3 linked regions of the Drosophila melanogaster genome follow. The protein of the gene in region 1 purifies or fractionates together with the protein of each later gene. This does not show direct contact. Each region holds a gene or a part of one and is shown in the gene's direction. Other genes may lie near its edges. The genes, in order: CG9890, Orc3 and thoc5.

Region 1 (6,583 bases):
GTGCGGCGTATCTGTGTGCAACATCGATGATATTTTAATTGGCCAGCAGCTGAATCGGTGGCCGTAACACTTACGCTAACGTCGAGCTCCCGTGTTTCGATTTTTGTTTGCAAATAAATTCAATTCCGCCCCCAACCGCAGCACAGTGTGACCGTTCGCGGGGAGTTCCAACGGTAAACTGGTATTTTGGCATCTGATAGTATTTCATTAATTTATTTGGTATTTTCTACACAGCGAGAAAGCTATAGACCGTTATTAGTGGCTTCTCTTTAAGCCAAAAAATGAAACTGGCCATAACAAGATGCTTCTCTTATTCAGGAGCGAGCTGGTACCTCGCGAAGCTTCTCGGTGCGGTCCTCGTGGGTAATGATGACCTCCACGGCGCACATGTTGGGCGTCAGGAAGTTCTCCAGGATCTCGGAGCCTCGACGCGGCTTGCGATCGAAGGGGAAGCCCATGGACTTGCGATCCGGATAGAGGCGATCGCGCAGGCCGCAGTAGGAAGCGGCGATGCTGCAGCCGCAATCTGCGACCGTCTGGTCAACCTGCACAAGGAAAGAGGATTGGGATCAGGAGGCATTCGCAGTATACTCTAAAGACACCTTACCTTATCCTCTTCGTAGTTGGAAACCATGACGAAGAGCTCGAAGCGCAGACCCTCGGGCCGACCCTTCGGAATCAGCATGTGCTGGGGCCAACCGCAGCCGCACAAGAAGTTCTGCAGCTCCTCCAGCTTGTCCAGGTTGCGGAAGGTGCGCTCGAACGGAATGGTGACACTCGACTCCGTGGAGTTCCGGGTGATCGTATGGCTGCCGGGAGGCATGGTAACCACGAACTTGTCCAGCTCCACCATCATCAGGCGCTGTTGCTCCAGCAGCATGGGTGCATTGCGATCATCCAGCTTGGGCGCCAGGAAGATGCGCACGTAGCCATACCGCGTGGCCTCGCTGGAGTTCTCCACCTTGATGGTGTAGCTGAATTCGTGGTGCTGCAGATGGGTGAACCGAGCGAGGACATGGCCGCGCGGCACAAAATCAAGGCCACGGGACATGTCCACATCGGACTCCTGCCAGAAGGTGGTCAGCCTGTTGACCTGACCCTGGCTCTCCACCTGGATGCTCTCGACGCGAACGTCCGGAAAGCTGAGCTCTTGCTTCTCATAGGGAGAAAGCAGACGTTTGTGCTCCTGGAACATATTGTCGATGAAGGCGTGCCACTTGTAGAAGATCGGATCGCGCATCGCGGTGGAGGCGTCGCCCATCACGCCCGCGTACTCCAGGTGCTTGTTGGTCGGATCGTGTGAGTAGGCAATCAGTATGTGCCCCATGTTGTGGAAGTCGCCGTACTGCAGATGGAAATAATATACATGGAAAGGTGATCTACAGATTATCACTTAGATTCCTTACCAGCGTACTGTTGGGCGTCAGATCGGAAGCCTCGATGATGTTGCCCAGGATGTCGATGCCCTTAGCGTCATCCAGCACGATCTTTTCATTGTTCGTCTAAAAAATAACCAATTAGTTGTTGGATGCATGTACTCCTGGAATCGGAGAGCTCCCCACTCACATCCAAAACGTAGCCCTGATGGATGGCCTCGTAGATGCGTTCGCGCCAGCGCTTCATATCATCGATGCCAACCCTCAACTGGTTGTTAGGCCGGTCCACATCGCTCAGCCGGGTGTTATCGAAGCGCGGAGGATACGCCCTACTGGCCACCAGCGAGTCCATCTTGGGGAAGTAGCCCTCGGCAATTGGTTCGTCCAGGTTGTTGAACGGCTGCACCCGGGCCATGTGGTTGCTCAGCCGCTCGGCATTGTAGCGGGCAATGATCTGCTGGTGCATATAGTAGAACAGCTCGCCACGACGGTCCTTGTCCACGATGCTGCGGTCGGGCGCCTCTATGGGATAGACCAGATGCCAGTGCCAGTGGTGCAGGTTGACGCCCAGGTCCTCGCGGAAGTACCACAGCCGGTGCTCCACATCGAGATCGGAGGCGGTGTACTTGACCGAACTGACGACGGGCAGGCGGGCGGCGGAGCGCTCCACCACAAAGGACTCCTCGCGCATGCTGCGAAGCATCTTCGAGTCGATAAAGCGATCCGGGAAGGTCTGCGCAAAGGCGGGCAGTTCGAGGTCCTTGGTGTCCGGACGGTGGAGCAGGGCCACCGACAAGGCGTAGTTGAAGAGCACCGGATTGACGCGATCCCTGGCGTACACCGCCACGCTCTGCAGCTCATCCACGGTCTGCATTTTGGTGAAGATCTCGATCAGGTGGCTGGCCATCTTGCGGTGGGACTTCAGGAAGATCGAGAACTGCTCCGAGCGGCCCAGTCTCATGGAGCAACTGAGATCCGGTATGGCGATCTCCTTGACTTGAACGTTCTTCTCGGACGCGCTGCTCACGCGCCGCTGGACCTTCTTGCACATCTGATTGTAGCGATCGGTCACGTAGGAGTCGGGCACGTCGAAGACGGTGCCATTGCCACCCTTGTCCATGAACACGGGCTCCGTGGGATGATCGAACAGAAGGAGCAGATTCTTCTTGTCGGCCATTTTCGATGGATTCGCGATTAGGAGGACCTTTAGCGAGCAGTTGCTGATTCTCAACTGCACGTCCCCACCCAACTATCAGCTCCTTTTATACCCAGCAGCCGAAATGCCCTATGGTTACATGGCGAACATCTCAAGTTCGTCAACCCCAAAAAACAATCTAAAATATTACTAACTTAAGAATTTTTAACTATTGCCATAGTATAAGCATTGAATCACAGAGTTCCGAAAAAAACATTTTTAACCGATAAGATGCTGCTGATTCATCATAGTCTGTTGAAAACTTAACGAACAATGTATTTGTAAGTTTCAGAATTTTAATTCACAGATAAGTTACAAATATTTGAATCGTATAATATCCTATAAGGATATTAACATTTCCAGTACGTGTTGTCTACATCGAAAATACTGAATATCATTTTTTGATTATTTAGTCTTCATAAGACAGTTGTAAGTATTTATTTAATTTTTTTTGTGCATTAAATTAAATTCATTAAATTTTCAATTGTTTCCAGTGTACGTCATAATTAAGCTTATCTCGCAAACAGTATTTTGCCGCTAAGCACCTGCGGTCACACTTATTCGTGGAGCACCAGGAGAACGTAAACAAATGGAGCACGAGGTGGCTGTTTCAGGAGGGGATTCCTCGCTGGAGGAGATCACTGGCAGTTCGAAACTCAAGCCCTCCAAGAACACGGCCATCAAGTGCCTGAAATGCGACAAGGTGTACATATTTCCGTCAGATAAAGATGACTGCCTGGCGCATTTGTATATGGAGCACCGACTGGTCATCGCCGATGTGGAGGATATAGCGCTTCTGGAGGACTACCTCCAGTACTGGGAAAAGGAGTTTCACAGTGAGAGAATCAGCAACCCTACCCTGAAAATTTAATAATTGTTACCCATTTTAGCCCACGAATTCGAGCAATATTGCACCACAATGTTCCTGGATCAGCTGCCCGATGGCAAGTACGCCAAGAACGAAAAGTACTACCTGCTGTGTGACATCCTGCCCCAGGACTACGAGCTGCGGCGAAGGTTGAAGGAGAAGCGCCTAAGTGAAGCCCTGGAGCGACATCAGTTCGAGCTAACCGACCGCACCTTCTCCAAGGAGTGCCTTTTCTGCAGGGCCATCATCAAGGGATTGAGGGCGGACTATCTGGACCATCTGTTTGACAAGCACTTTCTGTTGGTCGGCAAGCCCGAGAAGCTGGTGTATGTGGACGAACTGCTGGATCACCTGGAGGAGAACTTGAATCGGTTAATGTGCCTCTACTGCGAGAAGATCTTCAGGGATCGGCCCACGCTCAAGGAACACATGCGCAAGAAGGGCCACAAGCGGATCAATCCGAACCGAAGGGAGTACGACAAGTACTTCCTTATCAACTACAATCGTGTACCAACGGCCCCCACGCCCCGGAAACAGCACCTCCAAAAGCGAAGACGGGAAACGGCATCCGTGTCCACAGTTGCTGATCCTGAAACCGGCAGCGTGGACTTCGACAAGCACTTCGCTCGCCCTGATTCGGATGGCGAACACGATTCGGACTGGTCGGATTGGGCGGCAGATGGTGAGCCTAGCTCCATTAAGTGCCTGTTTTGCCACCATCTCGGCGACAACTTCACCGCCCTCAAGAAGCACATGCACGAGGTTCATCGCTTGGATTTCGAGAAGGCCACCAGCTCTCTGAACTTCTACCAACGCGTCAAGGTGGTCAACTACCTGCGCCGCCAAATGTGCCTGCTGCGCTGCGTGACCTGCGATCTGCAGTTCGACGAGGAGGAGCTGCTCGTGGAGCACATGGCACAAGAGTCGCACCACGGAATCGGCGATAAGGAGAGCTGGGACAAGCCCGAGTTCTTCTTCCCGTACATCGAGAACGATGGTCTGCTGTGTGTGCTGGATGATTCCGGAGGCGATGACCCGGACGTCGATACGGTGCGCATCATCTCCGAGGATAGTCTGGCGCAGATCAACAAGGATGCGGAGCGGTTGTCCCTCGAGAATTTTAAGCTGTTGTAACTGAGATTTTTGTATTGTACAGTTTACGTTTAAAAGAAACTAAGTAAATAGCAATGGAATTTAAGTGTGTACTATATTTATAGATACGTATGCACCAAAAACTTTATGCAGAGGAGCTAAATATTTTATTTAAATACCATATTTTTTAGTCCGCATAAGGGTTAATTCGTTCTGCTTAGCGAGTACAAGAACCTTGCCACCAAGCTAACGTTGCCACCTTTTCGTTGGACATCGATTGTTTTGCAGACTGACATCATTCCCATCAAAACGAACAAAATAAAGAGAAATTCAGCGAAAAATGGAGGCACTGGACATTCTGGAGAAGCGCATCGATGCCCTGACACGAGTCCTGGGTCCGGTCCAGGACTCTGAGGTGGGCGAGGGCGTGGTCGACGCCCTGTGCTCGGCACACGCCATCCTGGGCGAAGCAACCACAGGAAGTGCTGCACTGCAGCAGTGCGTGAAGAGATCTGACGAGCTGGAGAAGTACCTGGACCCCAACTTCCTGGAGGAGCACCAGCAGGTGCGCTCCAAGGAGGTGTACCTGCAAGCCGTGGCCCCCGAGCTGCACACGCAGGCCGAGCAGCTGGAGAGGATTAAGCAGCTGGAACCGGCCCTGGGCGCGGAGTACTTCCGCAGCATTCCCGCCGAGTGTCTGGAGCAGCTAAAGGGCATAACGCAGAACAACGGGGAGTACGCGCAGCAGAGCGAACTTATCGAGGAGAGTCTGGTCCTGGCCATGAAGCGATATGGCGAGATCCAGGCGGGACTGCTGAGCTCCCTGGATGCCATGAGCGAGCGCTTGGACCAGGTAGAGGAGCGCATGGAGCAGAGGAAGCGTGCAGAGTTGAGCAAGGATGTGCCGCCCAAGGATTGAGCGGATATAGATCCAAAGACTGCTGAAAGTATTTTATACGACCCCGTTTCCAAATCCGTTCACCTGAAAATCTGGTTCCACTTAAGCTGAAGGCATCAGTTGCTCAAGCAATGGATGTAACCTAGGTTCTATTGAAAAGTGTAATCGTAGCTAAAGCCATCCCGATTTGATTGGAACTGTTTAAGGAAGCCGGGATATTAGATTTTCTAACTACTCCAACGTAAAGTGGCTAATGATGCTCTTTCAATTGTAAGTTTCATTTTTAAAAACTATTTAACTAAGCACAATAAACTAAATTACAAATCTAATGAAAACCAATCAAAATCCTGTCTTACAGAAGGAAAATGCTATAATCACATAATAGAGCACAATATGGATTTATCATTGGCTGAATTTTATTTTTATTATCTATACAATGTATACAATACGATGTGACACTTATGTATGTAGGAATTGTAGAAGGAAATAGTTACAAAATAATAATTTACCCGCGGAAACGCTCTTTCAACAGTAAATTTCCAATGCTAAAGTTTATATTGTCCGGACAATAAGAAACTTAGCCAGAATTAAAAGTAGTTGGCGCACCACAAGCCGAATCCAAAGGATATCCTCTTCACCAACATACAAGGCACAGTCTTGACTTTTCTTCTTCCCAAGAACAAAGTCCGGCGCTCCTAGAATCGCAGCTCGTTTCTAACTATCCTCTCGTATACGGATGGGGTGAGTGGAGCATACACGCCATCCGGTTGGGCGTAGAAGAGTTCATCGTCGATGATCTCCGGATTGAAGCCCTGCTGCTGAAGCTCCACCTTGCGCAACTTGAAGGTGCCCGTCAGGTCGATTTTGCGCAGGAATCTGAGAAACTGCGGCCTGGCGTAGTTGGGCAGGGATTTGGCCAGTTCCACGCCCAGCTGGCTGACGTTGACCTCCCGAGTGGGATCGTAGATGGCTGCCATTCCTGCTCTGCCCTCAGTGTTGGGTATGCTTACGCCGTACACAATCACATCCTTGTAGCCAGCCAGATTACTCAACTGCGCCTCCACCTCGCTGGTGGAGACATTCTCACCCTTCCAGCGGAAAGTGTCGCCGGTCCGATCTTTGAAGTACAGATAGCCCCGCTCATCGGCCACCAG
Region 2 (6,583 bases), 9.9 Mb from region 1:
ACACTTCAAATCGATTACACAATTTTATTTCAAATTGGTTTGTCCGCAGCAGTCGTAGGTATTTCCATAGGTGTTGGCTTTCGTCGGCGACCCCGTCGTTTCACTCTTAAAATGACCTCGTCCTTTATCTGTTCGTACTGGTAGTCTGTGTGGCCCAGGGAGCAGCGTTTGGTCACAGTTGAGCTCTCGTCCTGCAGACTGCAGGCACCCAAAGTTTCGTCGATGGTAACATCATGGGCTGGCACCTGCGGCGAACTATCCATGTTGACCTTTCTCTTCTTCACTGGGGTCTTCTCCGTGGCCGTCTTCTTAGGCGTCGCCATCGGCGACACAGTCTTCGATTTCGTTTGGGATCTTAGTGGATCAGCCTGTTTTGGAGTCTGGGTGAGTATTGTGATGAGGCTTTTTGGCGTCTGCGGCGCTCTATTCGACGTTGAGGTCACCACAGTTTCGTCCGGCGACTGCTGGTGCAATTGCTCTAGTGCCATCTCAATGGCATCTTCTGCGATCCGCAGTTTCGGATATGTGGATTCTGCGGTGCTCGCTGCATCCTGCTCCTTCTTCAGCATGTCAATGGCAGTTTCCAGGATAACCTCGTCATGTTCATCGCTGTGATCCAGTTTTGTTGAATCGGGCTTGGCGTATAATATAGTAGCAGACTTTATTGGAGTTTCGTCCGAGGTGGTAAAAATAGTTGGATCTTTCATCTCTGCGCAAATCTTTTGGTCCTGTGTGGCTAGGTTCTCTTGATTTAAAGCGGAATCTGTGACAGCTGCTGGCGCTTCACCATGGTTGTCGACCTTTACAGCAAAATGGTCGATATTCGCCATCTTGGGCAACCGAATATCCTCAATAATCCTTACTCCCAAGTCGGACTCGACCACGGAGTTAACTTGATCCATCGGTTCTCGGATCTCTGCTTCATCATTCTCATCATGCTGAGAACACACATCAGCTTGAGACGTCGTATTCTTTGATAATACTATGTTGTCGTTGCTTTCTTCTTTGCTAGGAGTTTCAACAGCAGTTTCAACTGCAAAAGGCTCTTTTTTGTCTAACTTTGCCTGTGTCTCTTCAGATTCTTTTCCATCCTTGAATTTGTCCAGGGGTTGCTCATCAGCTGGGCAATCTTCAGCTAAAATGTTTTTACATTTTTCAAGTACTACAACTTTGGGAATAGGCTCCTTATTTAAAAGTTGGTGGCCAGAGTCTTCTGTACGATCCTGTAAGATTACAGGATCTAACTTGATCTCATTTTTAGAAAAATCCGCCGATTCTGGGTTAATTAAGCTTAACCCCGGAATAATCTCATGTTTTGGAATACAAGGTTCAGCAATTAAACCATTTGTCGGTTGAGTAATATCCTTCGTCTCTACTTTTGATTCCTTTGAGGAATTTGCATTGGTTTCTAAAGCAGCATCCCTTCGGTTGGAAACGACTTTTTCAGCCGGTTGAGATTCAGTTACGAGTTTGACGGTCACGGGGACTGGGCTCTTGCTGCGTTGGTCATTTGTTTCATCGTCAGTAAGTGTGATGATGGCATTTGCTTTTTCTCTTGGCAATTGTATCTTGCTACAAAAATCAGATGGTGCTATCAACAAATGTAACTTATGTCCCTCTGCTTTACTGACCTGGGCGATGCGGATTGGCTTCGCCGTTTGGCGTGCCGGGAACTGCTTTCTTGATTCCTGTGATGATCTCGCCGGGAATTATGTTTTGGACTCCGGCTGCGATGTGGATCTGGACGACGAGCCTGTGCAGTAGATTTCCGATCGGTGGTCTTTGAGTGTTCCGGCCTGGGAGACTTGCTTCTTTGGACCGATTTCTTGGCGTCTTCTCTTGTCCTAGATTTCCAAGCATCATCCTTTGAGGATGACTTCTTGTCATCATCTTTATTGGTCGCCATCTTATTATCCTCCTTGGATTTTACGCCTCTTTCAACATCTTTTGATACGACTTTCGTTGTGTCATCTTTTTTGGTCATCATCTTCCTAGCATCATCCTTAGCGGCGTCCTTTGCAGCCGTTTTGAACGGATTTCTATTCGTTTCCGGATATTTCCTGACATCGATTGGTGTAGATTGAAATTCTTTCGGACGCTTACTTTCGGGTTCCCTTGCACCTGGTACGTCAAACGCCCGTGCTCGTTTTCGTCGGAAGCATACATCGTCCTTTCTGTTGAACAATGTGTTGTTTGTTAAGAAGCAGGGAGTCAATATGCTAACTTACTCGTTTCGCAGCTCGGCAATCAGTGTCTCTTTTCTCTTTACCTCCGCCTTAGCTGTGTCCAGTAGATTCTGTAGATTAACCTCCATGGTTTTTATCTTCTTGCCAAGTGCCTTATTCTCAACCTTTAGCGCTTCAATTTCGGCCAGTGCCTTTTCGTATTTGGCTTCCCATGCCTGTAGCTCCTTGGTATTCTGTGAGATGGTAAATGGGTAACTCTGCTGAAAGGACGTATTCCTGCACAACTTACACGATCTTCGGCCTTCTGAAAGTCGTCCAAATCATCGTAGATGTCCAGTTCAAGGGATCTGTCCATTTGGTCAGGCTTCTTTGAACCTGCAGGCTCTATATCGTACAAATCGTGATAGATATCCAAATCCATGGATTTATCCTTAACGTTGGACTTCATCCCGCCCGCGTCCTGGTCTTCCAAATCCATCAAGTCCTCCAGAGCTTCGGGCAGCACCAGTTCTCCGCCAGATTTCGTGGCATATGCAGGCGTTTCCATACCAATCGCTTACGTTTCTTCTTGGCTGCCCTTTAAACAAGGATACATAAAATGAATTGTTAGAGTTACTGTTTTTTAATGGAGCTACTTTATTGATTACCTGTTCAGTCATAAATTGATCAAAATTCGAAACACAAAAGAATTTCAATGTTCTTGATTTTTGTTTCAGGGAATAAAAGTTCCACTAAAGCTCAATGGTCACTGTCCTGAGCATTTCCTCCAAACTGGCGTGCAATTTGTTTCCCTGCCGTGTATTTGTATAAATGTAATTATTATTATTATTCTATTTAATATTGTTAGAAAATCCCGTGTTGCCGCCAATCGATAACAGAAGATGCAGTTGATTATCGGAAGCAACAGCTGACCGGCTGAAAATGTGGCAACCCTGATAGTGGATATCGATATCCAGCAGCAACATTTGGCGCCAAAACGAATATTTTAAAAATTTTATTATGCACTTACGTGTTTTCCCAAGAATATAATTTTAAAATCAATCTAGTTCCCATTTCGTATTACTGTACACTTAAATTCGTTAAAAAAAAACATCACAATACAAACAATAATACTCGAGAAACACTACACAATGGCAGACATTCCGGAAAAAAGTTCTTACTACAAGAAGGAAAGAAGAAAGTTCGCTCTGATCACTTACCTACTAACCGCGATATTCCTGATCCTTGCGCTGTTGCAATGGGCCACTTTCCGCTTTGTGTACGTATGTATTTTCACATTACTTCATCCTCACTGCACTTTTTCTTAATTTTCAGAAATTTTCTAAGGGAATTTTTTACTTCGTACCATTGGTTGAGCTGCCTTTTTTTTGGAATAGGCCTGATACTCCTCGTACTTTTCATATTTTTCGAGGTACTGCGCTTTAATAAAATGGTAAACTGGTTGTTTGCCTTTCTAATTGTAAGTCTACAATGTGAAACATAACCTGGGTGGCAGTATGAACTTATTCTTTCCAGTTTGAATGCATTGTACTGGGGATTGCACCGCTGGTTGCCCGCCACTACAAGTATCAGTTTCTCTTCAGCTTCCTTATATGGACCGTAGCATTGGCGCTTTTTATTGTCTGTGGTTCCTTTCTTCCGGTAAGAAGAGTCCACATGAAAGCCATTTGATTCAAATCTGAAGCTTCACATTTTTATTGTTATCCCCTTAAGCTGGATCTTACTTTGGATGTTGTGGTGCTATTTGTGCTTGCAGTGGTTTCCATTATCGGCGCCATATACTTCGTGATGCTCTACATCGTGGCTAATGTCGCATACTCGTTTATAATCGCCCGTTGCTTTATAGTGATCAGCATCTTGATGGTTAGTACTGAGTCATACATTTTTGAATTAGTTTCTGTCATTTAGTTTCCTCCTTACAGTTTGTCATGTATCACGCGCAGATTATAAACGGTGGAAGGTTCGCCGAGATGCGCACGAAGGACTACTTCCTGGCAGCCATCATACTGTTCCTCGATTTCCTGCTCCTCTATCTTTTCTCATTCCAAGTGGCCCCAAAATGGTCGGATCGTTGCGATGGCGAACGTTCAAAAAACTTGGTGCTGTTCACAGAAACTACGACGAATTCGTATCCACCAAAATGGTGGCGTACGAGCACGAAGGGTATGATTTCTTATTATTAGTTCATGTTAGATGAAATATTCAATTAATTTATACTTTTCACACTTGTTTTCAAAGATACCCCCTAAAGTCGTTAGCCAACACTGCCGCCCGTTTGGCGCCAAACACAACAGCCAGCTGATTTCATTTCGCGTTCCTACCGGTGAAGAAACTTTAATTGGCACAGAGCTGACCTAAACAAATAAATAAATAAACGCAACCCGGCGACTTAAAGACTCCACGACATCGGGCCGCAGTGCAAAGCCAGCGATGGATCCCACCATTTCAGTGTCCAAGGTGAGTGGCTTCGGCTTCCAAACTGGACATAGATGTTTAACTACTTATTTTTGTTGTCTGCAGGGCTGTTTTGTCTACAAAAATGGCGCTACGAGAGCAGGGAAAAAGGCGGCCAGCAAACGGAAGCGTCCTGCCGCAGAATCCAGTAGTCTTCTTGGCAAAGAGGTAGTGCAGCAGCCCTTCTATGAGGAATATCGCAAGGCCTGGAATCAGATAAACGATCACATTGCCGACCTGCAGCACCGCAGCTATGCCCGCACTCTGGAGCAACTGGTGGACTTTGTGGTGGGGCAGGCAGAGCGCGACACCCCGGACGAGGTGCTGCCCACCGCCGCCTTGCTAACGGGCATTAATCAGCCGGATCATCTCAGCCAGTTCACGGCACTTACCCAGCGACTCCATGCCCAACGTGCTGCAATGGTATGTGTGCTGCAGTCCAGGGATTGCGCCACTCTCAAGGCGGCCGTTGAGACATTGGTTTTCGGGCTCGTAGAAGATAATGCAGAAGTGGAGCAAATGGAAGACGAGGACGAGGACGAGGATGGTGCCGAACGGGATCGCAAGCGGCTACGTCGCTCGCAGTGCACCATGAAGCAGTTGAAGTCTTGGTACACGAACAATTTTGACTCGGAACAGAAGCGCCGCCAGCTGGTCGTCATCCTTCCCGACTTTGAGTGCTTTAACGCAAGCGTGCTGCAGGATCTTATTCTAATTTTGAGCGCTCACTGCGGCTCGCTTCCATTCGTCCTGGTCCTGGGAGTGGCCACGGCCATGACAGCTGTCCATGGGACACTACCATACCACGTCAGCAGCAAGATTCGTCTAAGGGTGTTCCAGACTCAAGCTGCTCCCACGGGCCTTAATGAGGTAATATTCCTTAACTCTGTGCTAGTTTATGTACTAATCGGTTTTCTAACAACCTTTAGGTGCTGGATAAAGTTCTGCTGTCGCCCAAGTACGCTTTCCACCTGTCGGGAAAGACATTCAAGTTCCTGACGCACATCTTCCTATACTACGACTTCTCCATCCACGGCTTTATTCAGGGCTTCAAGTACTGCCTGATGGAACACTTCTTTGGTGGGAATGCCTTTGCTCTTTGCACAGACTACAGCAAAGCATTGGGACGCATAAAGCAGCTGACCCACGAGGATATGGAAACCATCAGAAGGCTCCCATCGTTTCGTCCGTACGTCGAGCAGATCAATGATTGCAAACGCATCATAGCCGTGCTCACGGACGATGACTACCTAAAGAAGAAACTGCCGCAGTTGCTGCGCGACTGCCTGCTCCACTTCCTGCTTTTCCGCTGCTCTCTGGAGTTCCTTACAGAGCTGGTTGGTGATTTGCCGCGCTGTCCGCTGGGAAAGCTACGCCGGGAACTGTACGTCAACTGTCTTAATCGTGCGATCATTTCGACGCCGGAGTACAAGGAGTGCCTGCAGATGCTAAGCTTTCTGTCCAAGGACGAATTTGTTGCTAAAGTGAATCGAGCCCTGGAAAGAACCGAACAGTTCCTGGTTGAAGAAATTGCTCCGCTGGAATTGGGCGAGGCCTGCACTGCTGTGCTGAGACCTAAGTTAGAAGCTATACGCCTTGCAGTGGACGAAGTGGTCAAGGCCACCATGGCGACAATTACAACGACATCGCCCAATGAAACCCGCCAGGCGACTGACCATTTGACTCCGGTGGCCTCGCGTCAAGAATTGAAAGATCAGCTCCTACAGCGTAGCAAGGAGGACAAGATGCGGCATCAGCTGAACACGCCCACCACCCAATTCGGACGAGCTCTACAAAAGACTCTGCAGCTTATCGAAACGCAGATTGTACAGGATCATCTCCGTGCGCTGCAGGATGCACCACCTATTCACGAACTTTTTGTGTTCAGCGACATTGCTACCGTGCGGCGAAACATAATTGGTGCTCCGCGGGCTGCACTGCAC
Region 3 (6,583 bases), 890 kb from region 1:
GGTTTCTTAATTTAAGATCGTGGTTTTCGTCTTATGCATTTCAGGATGGACAGAATGCTGCTTCGCTCACGCTGGCCGAGCAGTACATTGGAGCCTTCAAGAAGCTGGCCAAGACGAATAACACCATGATCTTGCCCTCGAATCCCGGGGATGTTAATGGCTTCGTGGCCCAGGCCCTGGCGGTGTACAACCACGTTTCCAACTCTAACCAGGCCACCAAGTCATCGGAAAACGTGAAGGGTGTGGGCGCCTGCCTGAACGCAAAGAGTGTTGAGTACAAGGAGTTGCAGGAGGATAAAAGCAGTGTGAAAATGAATATTGAATAGGAATGAATAAACGGTTGTTGCTATTACATTTGCCCCACTCATAGTTGTTATTATCAAGGCGAGGATATTAAATTTTTGGTTCAACAAATAAACGCCTATTTATTTACTTCGGAAGGTACTTCAACAGTCGAACCTCGTGCGACAGCCACAATGCGAAACTCAGCAGAATAAGCGAGCCCGACTGGTGGGCCGTTGCCAGAGGCACGGGCACGTAGTTAAGCAAGGTGGTTACGCCAAGCGTGGCCTGCGTCCAGGCCATAGCCACCACGGCGTTGATGGCCCAGTTGGCGCGCTTGGGCAACTGCATCCTTCTGGTGACCAGCCACAGAGCGGTGGTCAGCGTTACTGTGCTAATACCAAGGATGCGGTGATTGAACTGCACCGTCGTCGGATTCTCGGTGATGTTCTTCTGTATGGGCGCAAACGTCCACATGTCATCGGGAATCCACTTGTCGCCCATCTTCGGGAACGAGTTGTACACGAGTCCGGCGTCTAGTCCGGCTACAAAGGCTCCAGAAATGGCAGTCAGCAGGACCATTGCCTTCGTCAAATGCGTCAGCCCCTTGATATTAAATGCTTTCTTGGCTTGGATCACGAATGTGTTCGTGGGGATGAGCAGGGACATGGCCTTTGACAGGGAGAGTGAGTACAGGACGAAGGCAGCTGCCAGGTGGGAGGCCAATCTATACTGGGATACCCGTGGCACGTCGTTGGGATCCTGGAACCTGTCTTCCAGCCCGGACTTGACCATGTACCATCCCATCAGACCTTGCAGGCCAATCAGTGTGCCCAGCAGCAGGACGCTCTTCTTGGTCTTCGCACAGAAGTATCCCTTTCTCCAGAAGTAAACAGCGGGCAAAAGGAAGAACCCGCCGATGGCACGACCCCACATCCTGTGCATGTACTCCATCATGAAAATGAACTTGAACTCCTCCACGGTCATATTCACATTCTTTCTGAAAGCAGAAGTTTGCATGTAGTTCCTGGCGTTGGATGAATCTGGGGAGTACTCACAGCTTGTACTCTGGGTATTGCTGGTAGAGATTGAACTCCTGCACCCATTCCTCCTGGGTTCGGGGCATACGTTCACCCGTCAGCTTCCAAGTGACCATGGACAGTCCGGACTCTGTCAGTCGGGTTACTCCGCCTGGAAGAGATTCACTTTCGCAAGGAACTACAAACTTTACATTTTGTTATTGGTTACCTAGACCAACGGCCACGAAGACCATGCCGCTGACTCCCAGGAACCATCTTCCGACGGTCTTGTCGCTTTTCGGAGTGCTGATGGGCTTTATCACTGGGATTTCCTGAAAGGTGCGGCATTAACAAATATTACTTTATAAATAAAAACATATTTTTATATGTAATCAGTGGGATATTAATGCAACCTTTATCGCTGTTTGCGCAATCGTCTGGTGAAGTCGGGGGCCGGGTACTACTAGCTTTATGAGATTGGTTCTCTTCTGGAGCAATCGCAGCATTGTGTTATTTCAAGTTTGGAGAGATTAACTTAAGCTTACAGCAAATATTAAAGGATATATTTTGTTTTTTAACTATATTTACAAAGCCGCTACCAAGTGTGACCGCAGCAGTGGGGTATGCGCATATACTAAAATCATTTTGAAAAGTACCGGCGAATGTTATCGACTCGATAGCCTGGCCACATTATATCAGTTTTGTTAATAAAAACAACTTTTGCGGCTTCTGATTTACAATTTCGCCAAATAAAATGGAAACAATATTGAACACGCAGTTCGATCAGCTGCAAAAGGCCATAGAGGGAATTAAGGAGGCGAAGAGCAAGGTAAGTCCGATTTCCGTGCCAGAGTACAGCTCTAAATCCGTCCACATCCGTCACGAGCAGGGGCAATCGACGGATGAGGCTCGCATTGCCACCACCTTGATGTTCGTGGCTCTGAAGCACGCCAACCGCGAGGTGAAGCACAAGATCAAAGCGGGGCGCGACAAGCTGCACCTGGAAAAGTGCAAGGTGGACCTCAGCCGGCTGCAGCTGCAGAATCTTCTGTACGAAGTGAGCCACCTGAAGAAGGAGATTGTGCGCTGCCAGAAGTTCAAGAGCAGGGACACCAGCTTGGAGCTGCTCTCGGAAGCCGAGTACTCCAGCGAGCTGCCAGACATGCCCAACGACGCGGAGGAGCTGTCCAGCCACAAGCAGCACCTTCATCGCCTCGACTGCGAGCTGCGTCTGCGGAAGGCACTCGACAAGCAGTACAGCGCCCTGCTGAGCTCCAAGCAGGAACTGCTCCAGGACAATCTTAGCCACGCCCAGCGGTACGTCTCCTTCGCACCCGCCTTGCGCACTCTGCAGAGCGCCACAAAGCCGCTGCACGATGCACTCCAGCTATCCCTGGACGTGGAATGGAAGCTAAGCGCAGTGGTCAAGTACCTGCCCAAGCCGCTCTACGTTTTGTTCATTGTCCTGCAATCGCTGCAGCGGGTCAGCGAGGAGCAGTCCTTCACCGCCGAGGTGGTTGGCTATGAGAGCGAGGCTCAAATGCAGGAGTTGCTTAAGGAGAAAAAGTGCTCCACATTGAACTACAGACAGACTAAAAAGGAAAGTGGAGACCGGGAAAAGATTGCCGATAAAAACAACTTGGACGACTCACTCGCTCCTCACCCACTACACATTTGTTTGACGGTAGGATGACATGGTTTGCTCATTCCAAAACATTTATTAACCTAAACTTTAAAGATTGGAGCGGCTGGATCGAATCAGCTCGTTTTGCAGATTCGCTACTTTGATTTTATCAAGTGTGCCACTGTCTGGGGCCAACTTAACTGCTCCAGGAATGCCAACGGCCAGGGGTAAGTTTGGAACACACCTAGGAAAAAATCGCATAAATAACTAGGCATTTTTTCACAGTGACACAAACTTTGTTCACCACCTATTGCGGCATTTGTACCCCAATGACTTGGGCAATGAATTACCCATTCCGGGAATCCAATACGAGGTAAGAACTTCCTTATCCAACGTTGGACAACCAATTAAATTACGCTCTTTCAGCTACGAAGCTCGGATTTAACAGCCGAGGAATGTGTGCGCTACCTCAAGGCCAAGGACTACGGAAAACCCTTCTGTTGGCTGCAAAGTATGTGCTCGATTGCAACCGTCAACAGTTCGATGCTGTACAAACACGAACTGAACTTGAATAAGAACAACAAGGAGATTATTGACCGCATTGCCAGGCGCTTGAACTCTTGGCAGCGTTTAAGCCAGCAGATTCGCGGGCTGACCTTCAAGGATATCGATTTGTATAGCTTGCAGGAGAACATCTATCCAGCCGGCCTGTCGTGCAGTCTCGTCCAATGGACTGCCATCACACATGAGGAGCTTCACTCGCAAATTTCAGACGCACTGAATTCTTCGTCAGCGGACAAGGGTATTACGTACAACTCTTACCGCGCTGTCATCGTCCGGGGATCGGCCAAAATGGAGTGCTTTATTAGAATACCGAGTAACTATCCACTGGAAATGCCTCTATGGATTCTGAATGTGCACTGGAACGGATGCCTTACCGCGCAAAACAATTCGGCGATCAAGGTTTGAACTTATTCAGGTATTATCCTCCAATTAGCTTTTAAACTTGTATTCCTCAGATGATGGAGTTCTGGACCAACTCCCTGCAGCCCAAACATTTGGAGCCCAACGACTGCATCCTGTACGCGCAGCTCTTCCGCACCATCTACAGCTTCGATATATTCCTCGAAACCGAGGGATCCATGCAAAACACCATTGAGTACAACAAGGAGAAGCCTTACATAAGCGCCTTCGCCAAGCGGAGCCGCTCACGCCCCTACAAATACATCAAGAAGGGATCGGTCTACGCGTTCAAGCAGTGACAGTTGAATAACGAATGTTGTACAACACAATGCGCCAATGCGGTTACTAAACGTTCTCACAGTTGCGTTTATTACGATTAGTAATACAATAAATAAGTAACATTTAAAGCTAGCTAGCTACGACTTCATTGGCAGTTGATCTTCTGGGAAGAGGTCGCTGCCAAGGATCCGGGAGGTAGTGCCGTCGCAGAAGGGTTCTCAACCGCCTCCCGACTCTCGTCCGGCATCACTTTGTCCACGACGTGCTTGACGATCAGCCCATCGTCGCCCAGATAGCAGACAGAGTAGCCGTCGTACCAGGCCTCCTGATCCTTCAGCACCTCCTTCAGTTGCCAGAGCTTGTACTTCCAGAACTGGAACATGACCTTCAGGCCGGAAATGCCGCGCACTCGCCACCTTATCCGCACTGTGTAGTCGTCCTGGTGCTTCGTGATCTTGAGCACCTCGAATTTCACGTAGGCGTACTTCAGGTGGCCAACCGTTCGCAGGATGGCGATCTGTTTGACGTAGTGGTACAGGCCCACCGTGTGCTTGCCCGTTATGTTGTTGTGGAAGATTAGGCCCGGGCTGTAAATGGAGTAGTCTAGGGGCTCCACGAACAGCTTTGGTAGCGTGGTCCTCAGAACCTCGTAGGCTCTATCCAGGTCCTCGGGCTTACGCTCGTTCTCCTTAGGGTTCCCGGGCAGCCTCTCCGCTTTGGTGCTCTCGTAGGCCCTTCGACTTTGCTGGAGGTTATTGGCGGCATGGCTGTTTAACAACTTTTGTGGACACTTCGCCGGCGCAGACGCACTTAGCCGCATGGCGGACGCCCACGCCCGCTCCTTGGAGCACCAGTTGGCCATCCAGCTGCTCCTTCTTATTGATGAAATCCCGAAATTTCGCAACATCTTGCAAGGACTTTGTGTGCTACTTCCTTCACCGGAACTGGGTTTCCTCGATTCAGATCTGCCTCGTCTGCAGATCACACCATTCAAATTGAACTTAGATCCTGGCTATTTTTCGTTTGCGGCCCTCAGGAATTTGACGTGCTCGTGTTTAGGTAACAACATTTGGAAATAAAATACTCGGCAAAAATCATATGGTCGTTGGGCTGCAGTGTGGCCAGACTGTGTGTAATGTCCCAATAGCTGCGAGTGCCAGTGTGGATGTTAGGGGAACTCCCGTTGTCCAGGGTTGTCATGCCGGATTAGTTTCACAAATTAACTTCCGCAACCGGAAGTCATGAAAATGGAAAATATAACTTATTTGGTTTGAATTTAGTGTTTCAAGCTTATTACATGAAATATGTTGTCTCTTTTTTGAAGTGCAATAATCTCAAACACTTTTCATTTATGTAAGTACATGGTTTTGGAGTTGCCTTATGCGGTTTTCTTGGTTGTTCTTCTGATAAATGTTTGGTACCTCAACAAGCATCGAATCCAGGCACTCGCATCCGCATCGAATCCCACAGGAGGCGTTTGACGAGAAACTGTTGCACTTTACAGTACTAAATGGTTTTGTGCGCAGACTTGCTGCGCAGACCAATTTGTTACAAGCTCGAATCACACACAAATCTGGGGGCATACACATATATCTGTCTGCAGGTAAACACGTTGTTTACAGCCACCCAGCTATATAACACTAATTTGAGCTGAGGAGCTTTCGCTGGCTGAAAAATCGACTTTTATTTGAGCTTAAACCCATAGAGCCTCGTACTATGACGCGCTAATCGGTGACCGTATTATTGAGTGCCAAATTCTCGACTTAGTTGCAATGTCTACTCGACTCTGCTAGCCCTAGTATTGAGAAAAATCAATAGGAAGTAAATAAAAATGCTGCATGCCTGAAACTCGCTTTGCGGATACTCTTAAACTACGTATAATCAATTTTTCTATCGGTAACCGAGCTATCCAAAATGTACGGAATCACTCAATCAACTGTTAACGTAAGTACCCAACCGGCTGTCCGGGATAACTTTCCGTTCTAGTCCTCAGCGATTATTGATTGGCCTTGAAACCCAACCAACTGCCAATGTGGGCTCTCCTTCCCCTCTCCAGAATCAACGCTTTCGAGTTCGTGATATGGATAACGAGCAGATCATGTCCACTTTTGGGAACATAGGTCACCTGCTGAACATTGCCGTGGAGCGATTTATAACCATTGGCGAGATCATCGCCGAGGAGAATATTGACATCAAGGGAGACATGTACGAGGCGGCGAAGGAGGCCAGAGATGCGGGTAAGAAGACATCCTTTCCAGCCTGGTACATCCTTTTCATTGTATTTTGTTGTACGATAGGAAAATCGATTGAACGACTTTGTGATATTTCACCTCTAAGCGGCATGGAGCTGCGCCACCACATCGAGCCCCTTAAGGACTATGGAGCCATCATTTTGGCGGCCCGCTCCCTGCTGTCG

What was found.
Region 2: the proteins of CG9890 (region 1) and Orc3 purify together in Drosophila melanogaster (affinity purification with western blotting, with the first as the bait; one study listed by BioGRID). This does not show direct contact.
Region 3: the proteins of CG9890 (region 1) and thoc5 purify together in Drosophila melanogaster (affinity purification with western blotting, with the first as the bait; one study listed by BioGRID). This does not show direct contact.

Annotation. Positions count from the first base shown.
Region 1 is NT_033778.4:23,060,799-23,067,381, reverse strand, and holds CG9890 (uncharacterized protein), read left to right. Parts: upstream 1-3,121; 5' UTR 3,122-3,160; coding exon 3,161-3,407; intron 3,408-3,461; coding exon 3,462-4,573; 3' UTR 4,574-4,635; downstream 4,636-6,583. Other genes in the region: PPO3 (prophenoloxidase 3), read right to left, coding at 315-545, 608-1,345, 1,407-1,502, 1,567-2,553; DCTN3-p24 (dynactin 3, p24 subunit), read left to right, coding at 4,872-5,450; Fatp2 (fatty acid transport protein 2), read right to left, coding at 6,125-6,583. UniProt on the Drosophila melanogaster protein: DNA binding protein which is involved in the positive regulation of both basal and inducible transcription.
Region 2 is NT_033778.4:13,203,242-13,209,824, reverse strand, and holds the start of Orc3 (origin recognition complex subunit 3), read left to right. Parts: upstream 1-3,277; 5' UTR 3,278-3,316; coding exon of another isoform or gene 3,317-3,444; intron 3,445-3,500; coding exon of another isoform or gene 3,501-3,645; intron 3,646-3,701; coding exon of another isoform or gene 3,702-3,827; intron 3,828-3,899; coding exon of another isoform or gene 3,900-4,049; intron 4,050-4,108; coding exon of another isoform or gene 4,109-4,349; intron 4,350-4,424; coding exon of another isoform or gene 4,425-4,435; 5' UTR 4,436-4,616; coding exon 4,617-4,643; intron 4,644-4,706; coding exon 4,707-5,510; intron 5,511-5,569; coding exon 5,570-6,583. Other genes in the region: FLASH (FLICE-associated huge protein), read right to left, coding at 30-1,572, 1,632-2,174, 2,229-2,419, 2,476-2,733; CG34315 (uncharacterized protein), read left to right, coding at 3,317-3,444, 3,501-3,645, 3,702-3,827, 3,900-4,049, 4,109-4,349, 4,425-4,435.
Region 3 is NT_033778.4:23,952,109-23,958,691, forward strand, and holds thoc5 (thoc5), read left to right. Parts: upstream 1-1,982; 5' UTR 1,983-2,055; coding exon 2,056-2,130; intron 2,131-2,190; coding exon 2,191-2,985; intron 2,986-3,039; coding exon 3,040-3,152; intron 3,153-3,210; coding exon 3,211-3,298; intron 3,299-3,351; coding exon 3,352-3,888; intron 3,889-3,944; coding exon 3,945-4,187; 3' UTR 4,188-4,298; downstream 4,299-6,583. Other genes in the region: Stoml2 (stomatin like 2), read left to right, coding at 45-326; CG3803 (uncharacterized protein), read right to left, coding at 430-1,282, 1,341-1,473, 1,531-1,633, 1,715-1,807; CG16787 (uncharacterized protein), read right to left, coding at 4,313-5,074; alpha-Catr (alpha-catenin related), read left to right, coding at 6,082-6,111, 6,224-6,404, 6,465-6,583. UniProt on the Drosophila melanogaster protein: The THO complex is required for cell proliferation and for proper export of heat-shock mRNAs under heat stress.